Linked DNA regions of Caenorhabditis elegans. The protein of the gene in region 2 interacts with the protein of the main gene of each other region in a pairwise test. Each region holds a gene or a part of one and is shown on either strand. Other genes may lie near its edges.

Evidence for each region. The genes of interacting proteins can lie anywhere in the genome.
Region 1: the proteins of fust-1 (region 2) and mex-3 interact in a two-hybrid assay, tested with the Caenorhabditis elegans proteins (one large-scale study listed by BioGRID).

The regions. Positions count from the first base shown.
Region 1 is NC_003279.8:125,698-133,291, reverse strand, and holds the start of mex-3 (K Homology domain-containing protein), read right to left. Parts: upstream 6,008-7,594; 5' UTR 5,996-6,007; coding exon 5,956-5,995; intron 5,908-5,955; coding exon 5,856-5,907; intron 4,596-5,855; coding exon 4,396-4,595; intron 4,348-4,395; coding exon 4,168-4,347; intron 4,126-4,167; coding exon of another isoform or gene 4,117-4,125; coding exon 3,959-4,116; intron 1,190-3,958; coding exon 739-1,189; intron 681-738; coding exon 599-680; intron 1-598.
Region 2 is NC_003280.10:7,151,040-7,156,000, reverse strand, and holds fust-1 (RNA-binding protein FUS), read right to left. Parts: upstream 3,350-4,961; 5' UTR 3,302-3,349; coding exon 3,298-3,301; intron 3,098-3,297; coding exon 2,991-3,097; intron 2,866-2,990; coding exon 2,580-2,865; intron 2,532-2,579; coding exon 2,474-2,531; intron 1,910-2,473; coding exon 1,872-1,909; intron 1,665-1,871; coding exon 1,526-1,664; intron 1,481-1,525; coding exon 871-1,480; intron 823-870; coding exon 718-822; 3' UTR 529-717; downstream 1-528. Other genes in the region: C27H5.2 (TAR DNA-binding protein 43 N-terminal domain-containing protein), read right to left, coding at 294-318; T07F8.1 (Zinc finger PHD-type domain-containing protein), read right to left, coding at 4,241-4,675, 4,720-4,961.

The DNA of each region.
Region 1 (7,594 bases), on a different chromosome or scaffold from region 2:
TATGTATGATAAATTGTAAATTTCAGTAATTTTCCTTTAAATTTCAAGTTTTTCTCATAAAATAAATAAATTTAACTTTACCTCTTAAAATTGGAATTTCACCTTTTTCTCTCAAAAACGAGGTTTTGAAAAAATCAATTTTTTGCATGTGAAAAAAAACATATTTTTTTGAAGTTCAAAAGAAAATTACAATTTTTCTTTTATTGTTCAAAAAAAATTTTCTTTTTATAGATTTCTGACGGACAAAATCCAATTTTATTTAAAAATTTTTGAATTTCAAATGAAAATTATAATTTTTATAGAGAAAACTACGATTTTACTCTTTTTTATTTTCAAAAACGGATAGGTTCAAGATTTCGGAAAAATAATTTTTTAATGTGAAATTTTTTAAACATTCTGAGTTTTAGAAACGTTATTTTTTATTTAAAAAATTGATAAGAAGCCGTCAGGTTCCGAGTGGAAAACACGAAAACTTGTTTTTTTTTTAAATTTTTTAGCGGAAAATCAAATTTTCTTTCAAAAATTTAGAACTTTGAAGGAAAATTGCAATTTTTAGTTTTATTTCAAAAATTTATAAAATTCCTTCAAAAATATATACCCATTGGTTGGGGATTCCTCGCGTTTCTCCAATCCCATCGACGACCATGCGGACAGGGCATCGTACTTGCGGCTGAGAATTTCTGAAAAATCCTTATTTGTCATTTAAAATTCTTATTAAAATTCGCAAAAAAAGCTTACCGTTCTCCATAATATCATTAAGCGAGTTGTTGGTTCCCCAGTAGTCGTAGGTTGGCAGATCTTGTTTCGCCGATTGTCCTCCTCCCAACGATGGACGAGAAGACAGTCCAGTACCGGAAAGAGATTCCGGAGTCAACGAACTACGCATCGATGGGAAACTGCGGAGCAACGCGTCCAATCCCAACGAGCTCTCCATTCCGAATGGCGACGACGACATCTCCTTCTGATTGAACGGATTACTGTTGCCGAATGCTCTTCGATAGAACATCGATTGTTGCTGAGCCTCCTGCATTTGTTGTTGAGCCTGTTGCTGCTTCTGCACCATCAACGAGACACCGGCCAACTGTCCGGCAAAGTCATTGTCGGTTTCTGGAAGATTTCCGGTTCGCTGGAAGATGTGCGTCTCGATCTCCTTGCGGGCAGCCTCGACGTTATGTGGGAGGCCGGTCACCTGGAATAGAAATAGTTATATTTTTGTAGTTCTCGCAAAAAACTTATTTTATTACGGAAACACAAAATTCCAGAAATGTGTATTGCGCAACATATTTGACGCACTAAATATCTAGTAGCGAAAACTACAGTAATTCTTTCACTGATTACTGTAGCTCTGGATTTACGCGCTCGATTTTCGAATGAATTTCTTTTCGTTTCTTCATATTATTTTCTCATTTTCTTCTTAAAAATATTTTTCCATCGATAAATTTTTTAAATTCATTTCTTAGAGCACGTAACTCGAATTTCTTTTTGTTTCTTCATATTATTTTCTCATTTTCTGCTTAAAATTATTTTTCCATCGATAAATTATTTAAATTCATTTCGTAGAGCACGTAACTCAAAACAAGCGCTACAGTAGTCAATTTTATGAATTACTGTAGTTTTTGCTACAAGAGATTATGCGCGTCAAATATGTTGTGCAGTACACATTTTCAGAATTTTTTGTTTTCATTATAGGAAATATGCTTCCGAATTTTTGTGAATTTAAATAGTTTATGTTTTTTTTTTAATTTTTCAATAAATGTTATTTCCAATATTTTTCCCCAATTTTGTACGTTTTTCTCGGACTCCTTCGCGGAACTGTGTCATTGAGGCATAGATCACAATCTCTGATTATCGAGATGGATATCAAAACGACACGCGACCTCTGTCACTGTCTTGTGAGAACTTTTTCGGTGAGAAAATTAGAAGTTTTTGAACCAAAAATTGATTTTATAAGTATGGAAAATGCTCAATTTATCTGAAAATAAAACCTTTGAAAATTCAACAAAGATCTCAAGTGCACTATTTGAGGTATTTTTGAAATGTTCAAAACGAAACAATTCTATTACCAAACTAGTCGGACATTTTTCTATATTTCCATACCAATTATTCATTTGAGCCACGAACAAAAACGACAATTGGTCTTTTTAGAACGCATATAATATCCGAGGTGAAGCTTCTGTACCTTTCCCTCATATTCTCCCAAACATCATGTAATTCCTTCCCCGCCTGGCAAATCCATCACCTCCTTGTCTCGTCCAGGGTACCGGAGGCATTTGTGTCAAACGGACAACTAAATTGGGAGGAATAACGATGAGCGCACCGCACCGGGGCAAGATGTCATGTACTAGTGGGCCCGCACTGTCAACACATTCACAGTTCGTCCGGCGACCCAGAGTAGTGGGGGATGATAATTACCATTGTGAGGAAGGAGGAAAAAGGCCATGCGGATACGGTAATTTATGTCGCCACACACACACACACACACGCATCTATAGACACATACGGTCAAAACCGTCAATTACATAACCCTAATATGATCTGATTACTGTTCAAAAGTTCGGAAGCCTTCCTATAGAAACAACAACGACCTTTGTTCGTCATTTTGAAGTACCCCTGGTGCTGCCACAAAATGTTGCTCTCCCTGAGCCAACGGTGCAATAAAACCAAGCATATGTGCAATTTGGCGCCCGCCCCGGTCATTTAATTAATTGAGTCTCTTTGTCATCGCGATCCCCCCCCTTTTCTTCACCCTACTACCCTGTTAGATGGAATGAAAGAGTTGGTGCGTGTGTATGTGGACTCCCCATCGCGTGACTCTTGGCTCCAAAAACCCGGGCGGCCCCATCCATCGGTAATTCGACTAATCTACTGTGTGCTGGATGTTTCTCAAGGCGTCATTGAGCATCAAACTGAGATATCTCATCAACAATGATATTTTGCTGCCAAGAAGAAGAAGACGACATGCAACATTAATCGGTCCCGCGGGGGGAATTCTACCAAATTAAAAGATTCTAATCATCATCTCTCAGTGAAGACCCTAAACGGCTCCCGAGGAATTTTTAGCATTTCGGATGGAAGGAAACCGTTTAAAATTCACACCAAGAGGTCACAAGCCCTTCCGCTGCTCGTTTCGGCGCCCATGGTTGCTCTTTATTCTCTTTAGAATATCAATTCCGCACAAGTTTGATTGTTTTTGTTTGTTTGCCACAGCAGTGGCAGCCAATTCACAACTGTACGACCTCGAAAATCGCTCGAAACTCGGTGTCAGGAAGAAAACAAGAGACGGCCGAAAAGAATTGGGTATATCACACCAGACACTTACAAACACACATGTGTTTTCTGTCTCTGTCTAGGCATTAGGCTCCCCTTCTTGCAGTGACGAGGAAAAACAAATAATCGGAATGAAAGATTGACAATGGTAATGGGGACCTTAAAAATAGAAATTTGTAATGAACAACTTCTATGTAAAACTCGAGAGAAGTGTGTCGCAGAAATCAAATCCTGATGAGGTTTTCTAGAATCACGGTTATCGCTGAGACTTTCAGAATGATATATTTACAAACTTTGCTACAAAACAGCCGATTTTCTTATGAATTCTCCCCATTTTACAATTTTTCTAGATTACTTATATGTAAAAATCGAGGAAAATTGGAGTTGAAATCGGTTTTTATACAGAAATATTTCAGAAACCCCGCCGATTTTTAAATTTTGTTAATTTTCAGCAAAGCAACAAAAATTGGACCAATATTATGAAATAATAGCATGGTCTAATTATCTAACTTTTCTTAGTCATAAACTTGAATTTTTCAGTCAAAAGTAGATTTTCAGCACGATATATGCCATGGAAAAGCCGATTTTCAGTATTTTCTAAGCCGAAACTAGAAACTTCTCTGTTTTTGTTAAAAAGCATGAAATTGCTGAGAATTTTGCTCCAAAACTCTATGCTCTCCAACAAAATTACCTCAAAAACGGGCTCCCTTTCTCGGCTCGGCGTAATGATGTACGTGTGGGTGTCCTGTTGAATTCGCTTGATAGTCGCTCCTTTCGGTCCGACGACGAGTCCGACAACTCTTAACGGAACTCTGACATAGCTCGTGATCTGTCCAGGTGCATGGGCTCCTGGAACAACTGAACAAGGCGCTCAGGAACCGGCTGCCTACGGTCACCTACCTTGTGTATGTCTTCTCGACGCACGGATCTGTGTGAAGTGCTCGGCGGCGCAGTCGATCTCTCGTTTCGCCTCGTTCACGTCCTCCAGGCGTCCGGTGACCACGAAAATTGGATCTTCTCCGCGAACCGGTGTCTTGATGTAGGTGTTGGTCTTGGCGCGCAGTGCCTTAATTTTGCAGCCTGAAAATTTGTGGAAACTGTAGATTTGACTAAAAAGGCAATTTTTACCTTGACGACCAACAATCTCGGCGACATGCTCCGACGTCGGAACTTCCACGGACTCTGTGACATTTTGCACGCCTATCGACGTTCTGTAGTTGAGAAACTGCGCAATATCCTCCGGATCGCTGACTGGAGAGCACGAGGCAGTGTCCTCCTCGTAATACCAAGCCCCTGGCAATTTATAGGCGATTTGTTCTTCCTTCATTCTGAAAAATGGTTATGTTTGGGCGAAAATCGATTCAAAAATCGAAAAATAGAGGTTTTTCGGAATTTTTAAGGATATTTTCGATGAAAACCGCAGGTACCCATGTAGGAAGGGCAAATGGAGAAAAAGCGACAAAACGAGGCGCATATGATGAGAAAGACAGACGGGCAGCGGTACGCGCGCACAAATGGCAAAGCAGTACACGGACAAAGAGTGGGGCGGGTGGGTGACGACAGGCAACACCAACTGGTGTGTGTGTGTGAACGCGACAAAAATCCGAAAAATCCCGCCAAAAGAACCACCAAAAATTGAAAATTTTCGGCGCCGAAAAAATGAAAGAAAAAACAGAGAGAGTACGGTATCACTCATTTAACGTGTGTGAGATAGTGTGTAATTTTGGGCCGCCGTGTTCACGTACAATACGCGGAGGCGGGGCTTGGATATCGTAGTATTAAGTGGGAAATTAAATACAGTTTTTTTTTGTGTTTTTTCCAAGAAAAATGAAAAATCGAAAAAATTGTGTTTTCAGATATGAAAAATTGAAAATTTTTGTATATTTCAAAAAAATCGATTTTTCGAATGAATTACTTGAAATTTTGGTCATTTTTTAAGCAGTATAAACGAACAAATTTCGATTATTTTTGCAAAAAAAAACCGAAACTTTTTCCACAGCACCTTTGAAATTGACTCTGTTGAAAAAGGAAAAAAAATAGCGCATTTTTTCAAGTAATCTAGAAAAGAGGTTGCGATCAAGAACAAGGGTAATAAAAAGGAGGCAGGCGTGTAACAAAAAATTCGATCCTTTGAATTTTTGAGGAGGAAATCTTTTTTTAAAAAAGGAGAAAAAAATTTGGATTTTTAACTTTCTCACGAAAATTGAAGGGTGAGGCAAAAACTTAATTGCGGTTCGAGGTTGTTTCCAAGAAGACTTTTCCCCTCTTTTCCCTCTTTTCTCTCCCTATTCTCTTCTGTATGTTAAATATCCGACCCACTTAAAAAAAAGGAAGGCGAAATTTCGAGATATTCTGTTTGAATGGCAACACGTTTGCCGATTTTATACCAGTCATCCTTGAACATTCCGTCTATTCTCGCAAGGCCATTTGAGGCTTTTTTAGAAGCGGATTTTTAGAGATTTGGAGGATTTTCAGTGGGAACATTAATCAAAAAGTTCAAAAATCATCCGAAAATCACGAATTTTGAAAAGAAAATTGGATTTTTTTTCGTGTTTCTTAGACTGTTAGCTTATTTGCCGAAAACTCACGGTTTCCAAAATTCGGCGTCGTTCCACGTGTTATGCCCGTTTGAGAAGCCTTCTGGAAAAATTAAAAATTTCAAAAAAAAACTTCAAAAAAATTGCTCACCATTTCTCATAGAAAAAGGTCTAACGCTCACGACTGGCATTTTACCTGAAAATCTGCGATGTTTTGGGGTTAATAATTATGTGGTTGAAAAAAAAATTGATAAGCGGAGAAATTTGTCACCAAAAAAATATGGAATTAAAAAATTGCAATGGAAATCAGAGAGACAAAAATATACTACGGGTACACAAAATTATAAGAATGCGTATTGCGCAACATATTTGACGCACAAAATATCTCGTAGCGAAAAAACAGTAATTCTTTAAATGACTACTGTAGCGCTTGTGTCGATTTACGGGCTCGATTTACGAAATGAATTTTTTTGAATTGTCGTGTTTTCTTTTAATATTTTATCTGTTAATAAATAATTTAATTAAATCGGCATCAGTGCTACAAAAGTCATTTAAAGAGTTACTATAGTTTTCGCTACTAGATATTTTGCACGTCAAATATGTTGTGCAATACGCGTTTTGGGAAATTTGTATTCCTGTAATACAAAAACGACAAAAACGATCCGTCATAATCAGCGACCAAAGAAAAAAAGAAAAGACAGTGGGCTCCCAAAAGGGGGCGGGGACAGTTAGAGGTTCAGAGAAACCGATGGTGGGGGGCGGGTCTCTTTTGTTGTTGTCGTGCAACATTTTTCGTCCAGGGGAAGAAGAGTGAATAAGGAAGAAGAAATGCAAATTAAGGTGGTAGAAGGATGAGGATACGGTACTTTGGGACAGAAGAAACGAGAAAACAATGGAATTTAAAATGAGATTTTAGAAATGTGTAGATGTAAATGACATATTGAAACTGGTCATCTCGTTTTTTTTTGGCAACACTAGTTTCACTTTTAGGCCAATATTCAAGGGGCTACAGTACCCTTAAAGGTACATACTACTTCTCCCATAAAAAGCGGCGGAACGTCGAAAACAGGAGAGCGGTTGTTTTTTTGGAAATCCGATCTTCCGTATATTCCACGCCGAATCTGTTGGTGTCAACATTACAACAAAAACAATTTGTTTGCGTTTTATACGTTTTTTTTTTCGGTTTTTTTAGAGGCCCACCACGATTTACACAAAATTATGCACTCATAGTGCATCGACGAAAAGCAGTTTTTGAAGGGTTGTCGGTTTAAAATGTAATTTCCAAATAAGCAAGGTGCAGAGTGTCCAATAACTAGAAAATCTCGAAACTGTTTTTTTCCCGAAAAATCGCTAAATTTCATTTTAAAATTATCATGTTGAATCGATGAGAGCAGAATGTCGTGGAATTTCAAAATTTGGTTACAGAATGCGCCGTTATAAAGACAGATATTGGTCCTCTCATGGAAAAATCAAAAAAAAGTAATTTGAAAAAAATACCATCATGGTGCATCGAGAACAACTGAAATGAGAGTATTCGGCGGAAATTCCAAAGTTTCCAAAGAAGATTAAAGGTGCATGTAGGTCTCAAAAAACTTTTCCGAGAAGCAATTTTGAAATTTACTTCGAAAACGTTATAGTGCGTCGAGAATGAAACTATTTGGGTCTCGGAGTGATTTTTTTTCTGAAAATCGATAAAAACGTCATGGTGCATCGCAAAAATCGCTACCATTCTTACTCTAAAGTTATCGCCAAACAGCATTATGGTGCATCGAGAAGTTCGAAAATTCTGA
Region 2 (4,961 bases):
AAAATTAATTTAAAAAAAACTACCATTAACTTTTTTGCGCGCGAAGACCCATCTGAATAAATCCGTGTGCCTTTGTGAAGGCATGTCAGAGTCTATTTAAATTACGATGTAACTTTCTACGTTTTTATCTTCAAATTAAATGTTCGTAGAGCCTATCAATCATAAAGTTTAAGAACTATACTTTAATTCTGAATCTAAAATAACTTTCATTGATAGTTTTATATTTTTATTCTGAATATGCGAGAATAATCTTACTAAAAATCTATTCTCATAGCGATTTCTTCGAATCTTACCTTGTAGTCCTGTAATACTGCTCATTAGTCGGTCGAAGTTTCGAACGGACAGTCTCTCCCGGGTAAATTGGAAGAATGAGAGGTGGGCGCCGAGGCAAAGGGAGGTCGAGACGAAAGAGATGGAGAAGCAGATAGTGTGACGTAGAGATGAAGTGCGGAGAGAAAACAGACAGTGACACGCAAAGCAGCTGATGGGTAGGGAAATGCGGACAATTGCAAAAAAAACAGATGTTAATGTGCAAAAATTTTTATTTTCGTTAAAAATAAAAAGTGGGAAAAAATGAAATATAAAAAGAACATTGAAATTTGAATGTATCGAAGTAGAATATAAAGGTGGATATAAAATTGTTACAAGTCTCTCACATTGAAGAGATCAGAGAATTTAAATTAGATGTTAAAATTTATGGGGAGACGAGTTGATGGCTCAATATGGACGGTATCGGTCACCTCCTGGTGGTCCTCCTCGTCGCTCGCCACCACCACCTCCGGATCCTCCATCTGGTCTCGGGGCTTGGCATTGATTGCATTCCTAGAAGAAAACCCGTGTTTTTTTTTTGAAAAAACAAAATTAACTAACTCTTCTGAAAGCGAAGTTGCTATTTCCGCACTGCTCACATGGCCAGTCATTCTTCCTTTGTTCCATATTAGCATTTCCGCCACCTACTCCACGGCCTCCTCTGAATCCTCCACGATCGCCACCACGGTCGCCGCCTCGGAATCCTCCACGATCTCCTCCGCGGAAGCCTCCTCTATCACCACCTCGGAATCCTCCTCGGTCTCCGCCACGGAATCCACCGCCACCACCGCGACCACCATCGAATCCTCCACGACCACCGCCGCCGCCATATCCTCCACGATCACCGCCAAAGCCACCACGTCCTCCCATAGGACCACCACGACCACCTCCGAAACCGCCTCGTCCACCACGACCACCTCGTTCACCTCCTGCATCAGCGCGGAACTTGGCTAGTGAAATACTCATCGGGCTTGAGCCGCCAGGGAATGGTTGCCCATTGTACATAGTTATAGCTTGTTGAGCTGCAGAAGCATCGACGAATGTTATCATGCATTCTCCTTTTGGTTCTCCGGTGTTGCGATCGGTGTAAATCTTGATTCTCGGTCCGCGATCGTTCTTTGCAATATCTCCGCAGGTACTGAAGACGTCGGCGATGTAGGCTTCATTTGCACTGAAATATAGATACATTTTTTAATTGGGCGATTACAAAACATACGTGGTGGAAATTCCCTGCACAAAGACGGTCTCCTTCAACTCAACTCGCCCATCGGATCCGAATTCGCGGTTTCCTGAAGCAGCACCACCGCCTCCGTATCCTCCTCCACTTGGTGGTCCGTCACGTCGGGGTCCTCTGTCTGCAATGAAAATATGAAAACTTTTACAAACAATTTTTTCGTCCAACTGTCAATAATATAAAGCACAGGAACAAGTATTTTTATATTCGTTTAATGTTTTTTGTTTTTGAATTTCGATGATAAACTCGGTAGGATACCCATTTTTTTTTAATTTTGGTAATAAACTCGTTGTGGTACGAAAGATAAAGCAATTTACGTATTCAATACCTTGATAACCTCCTCTTCCTCCTGGAGGTCCGCCCTGTCTGCAAAACATCATTCTTGAATGGAGTCTTCTGTCTTCTTCTCTCATGCTAACACCACAGTAAAATGTTTTCAGATTTCGACCGCGCAATAATACACCTTCAATTGATTTTTTTTTGTACGCACAAACACGATCATTTAGATTTTAAGATTTTTCAAGCATGAGAGATTTCAGACAGAAGCATCTCCTGCACGCTCGAAGTCGTTTGGTAGACTTCATTTGTTCTTCACTCTTGACTCGTTTTGATACCGAACACACGTAATAATAGCTGAACTGCATAATATTTTGAAGGAAACCGGGCCATAGCCCTACAAATCGATAAAGCACAATGAATTTGTGCTTCATTGCGGACACTGACCTTTTTTCATGAAACTTACAATGACGGACACAATACATTACTCTTCGCAAGTTTTTAATAGTGAATAGATTTTGTATATGAACACTGAATACTCTGAACTCTGTAGCAGTTTCGATTTTCAACACAACACAACAATTTTTGGATGGTTAAGCAAACGAATTTGGAAATACCGCATATTGCTAACGAAACATTCAGATGTTTACCTACCGATCAGAGTTTCCGTCATCCCATCGGCTCCCACCTCGGCGTTCTCCGTCGTAGCCACCTGAAAAACATGGTTTATTATGAATACATTAATCAAACAAGAACAAACCTCTACCACCACCACGTCCTCCGCGATCACCGCCGTAACCTCCGCGTCCTCCGTCGTATCCTCCACGACTTCCGCCACGTCCACCATCATATCCACCTCCTCCACGACTGCCTCCGAATCCTCCACGGCCGCCACCTCTACTTTGCCCGTAGGGGTCAGATCCTCCGGATTGGCCTCCGGATCCTTGGCCGTATGGATCCGCTCCTGGTGGTGGTGGTGCATATGGATTTTGCGGTTGTTGTGCTTGGTCGTGGCCTCCATAAGCAGCAGCGGCGTACGGATCCTGCTGAAATTTAAACTATGAAACGTCTGTGAGCCTGGTGGTATTCAACAGCAGAACTATGCTCCTGAACAATTCTGAGCAAAGCCATGATAGTGAGGCGATCAGCCCACAAAATCTCATATACTTACATCAGGTTGACCTCCTGGTTGTTGTTGTTGTTGCTGTTGATAATAGGCCCAATACGCCTGCTGCCCTTCGGGTGTGCTGTAGTCGGGTTGACTTTGGTCGTAAGCCGCTGAAATCGATAATGTTTTCAAATAACCGGGAAACAGAAATGGCAACGCCCGTGATTTGTATTCGGGAGCTCCCACAAATTCACGCATTAACCTAATTTATAAAACATGAATGGTGTTAGGAGGATAAATAAAATACTTTCAGTGGACACTCGGATTTCGATATTCCAATAAGAAAACGACTATTAAAAAAGAAACTAACCCATTTTTGTCGATATTCAAGTCGAGGCACTCGCTACGTGTCGATGCGTTGACTGAAATTTATCCTTTGAAGAGCAAATATATCTTAAAATTAAAAGAGAAACGAGAAGAGAATGGTTGAGGACAGATGCTGTTCAAAGAAGACGGAGAACGCTGTCCAATACGCGTCGCGGTTGTGCGTCGCGTGTAGTCTCAATGGAGCGCGCACATTTGCAGTTATATCTAGATATATCTGGTTGTAGCGAACCTTGGCAGATTTCAGCGTTCTGCTCCAAAAAACTAAATTTACTGAAAAAAACAATTATACTAAAAAAAATACTTTTTAAAAAACTCCATCTAAAACTTTGATAGTGCTCATCACAAGATTTGAGCACTGCAGGGTAATAAATAGTATACATTTTAACAATTTTGAGAAATTAGGTCGAGGAAAATGAAAAATAAAGTTAACTCAAGAACAAAAATTGCAACAAATGATTACAATTTTACACAGTATCCTCGTCTCGAAATGCGCAAGCGCGACGATTGCTGGCGCGTTTCGCGTGAAATGCTGCGTCTCTCACATTTCCAAGTCTCTCGCATTTCCTTGCTCATTCTAATTCTCATCATTTTCTTCGAACAAGGTTGATTTTTTTTTCGTTTTTTTGTTTCATTTTCATGTTTACATTGCTTGTATTCGGTTTTTCTAAAATTGTATTCACTTCTTTTGAAATATTTTCATGCTGTACCCCAATCTGAACCCATTCACAACCCGTTTGTTAGTTTAGGCAATTGAAAATTAGGATTCACGCTTATCATCAACTCAAAACACTTTGTAAGTCGGAATTTAGAGATCATTCATGGCTTTTCTGCTCGTTTAATTGATTTAATCGAAAAAAAAACATGTGAGTGAGAGAGAGAGAGAGAGATGTACTATAAAAACGGTTTCCTAGAAATGTTTGCTGTCACTAGTTTCTTTTATCGGAAATATAGTTGATGTTAGCGAAATAGTCGATCATCAACTCAGCGCGTAGCTTGAGAGACATCACAGAAGAAAATCGCGTCTCTGTTGTCCTGAAGAGCACATGAAACGCTTCCATCCCTTGTTCTGAAGTACGACCCCAAGTTCTTTTTGCTCTAATGTAAGGCTCGAGGTGAGTACAGAGGATGTGAAGTTTAGGAGTGACTCCCATCGAAGGATGAAGAATTCTGATGTTTCTCTTCAAGTTCTTCAAAGTTTTAGCGAAATCATTCAAATCATCATCTGTGAAGACTGCGTTATTGCTTGCTGACATGAGTGACGCCAAATCATTCATGAAGTTTCTCATATTCTGGATCCAACTACAGTCCGTGAAGACTTTTAGTACTTTGTCAATGTTTTCTGTCCTTAGTAGTTGGCGAACCTAAAGATTAGAATATTTTCAAATACCGAAAATCACAAATTTACTTGATTTCCGGTTAATCCCTGATAGTTAATTTTTTGACTACAGCCAATATAATCCAAAACTTCCTCGAGTTTCTGTTTTGTTGGCCCAGTTCGAGTCGAAATAGCCGTTGTCATGTCTTGGCGAGCAGCTTTCAAGTTACTAAGATGGCTTGTCTCGTGTTGTAAGCGCCTGGCAAGCTCATCAAGTGCCTCATTAGCATGTTCAATCATTTCCTCATTAGAAAGAATATGTTTTTCTTGAC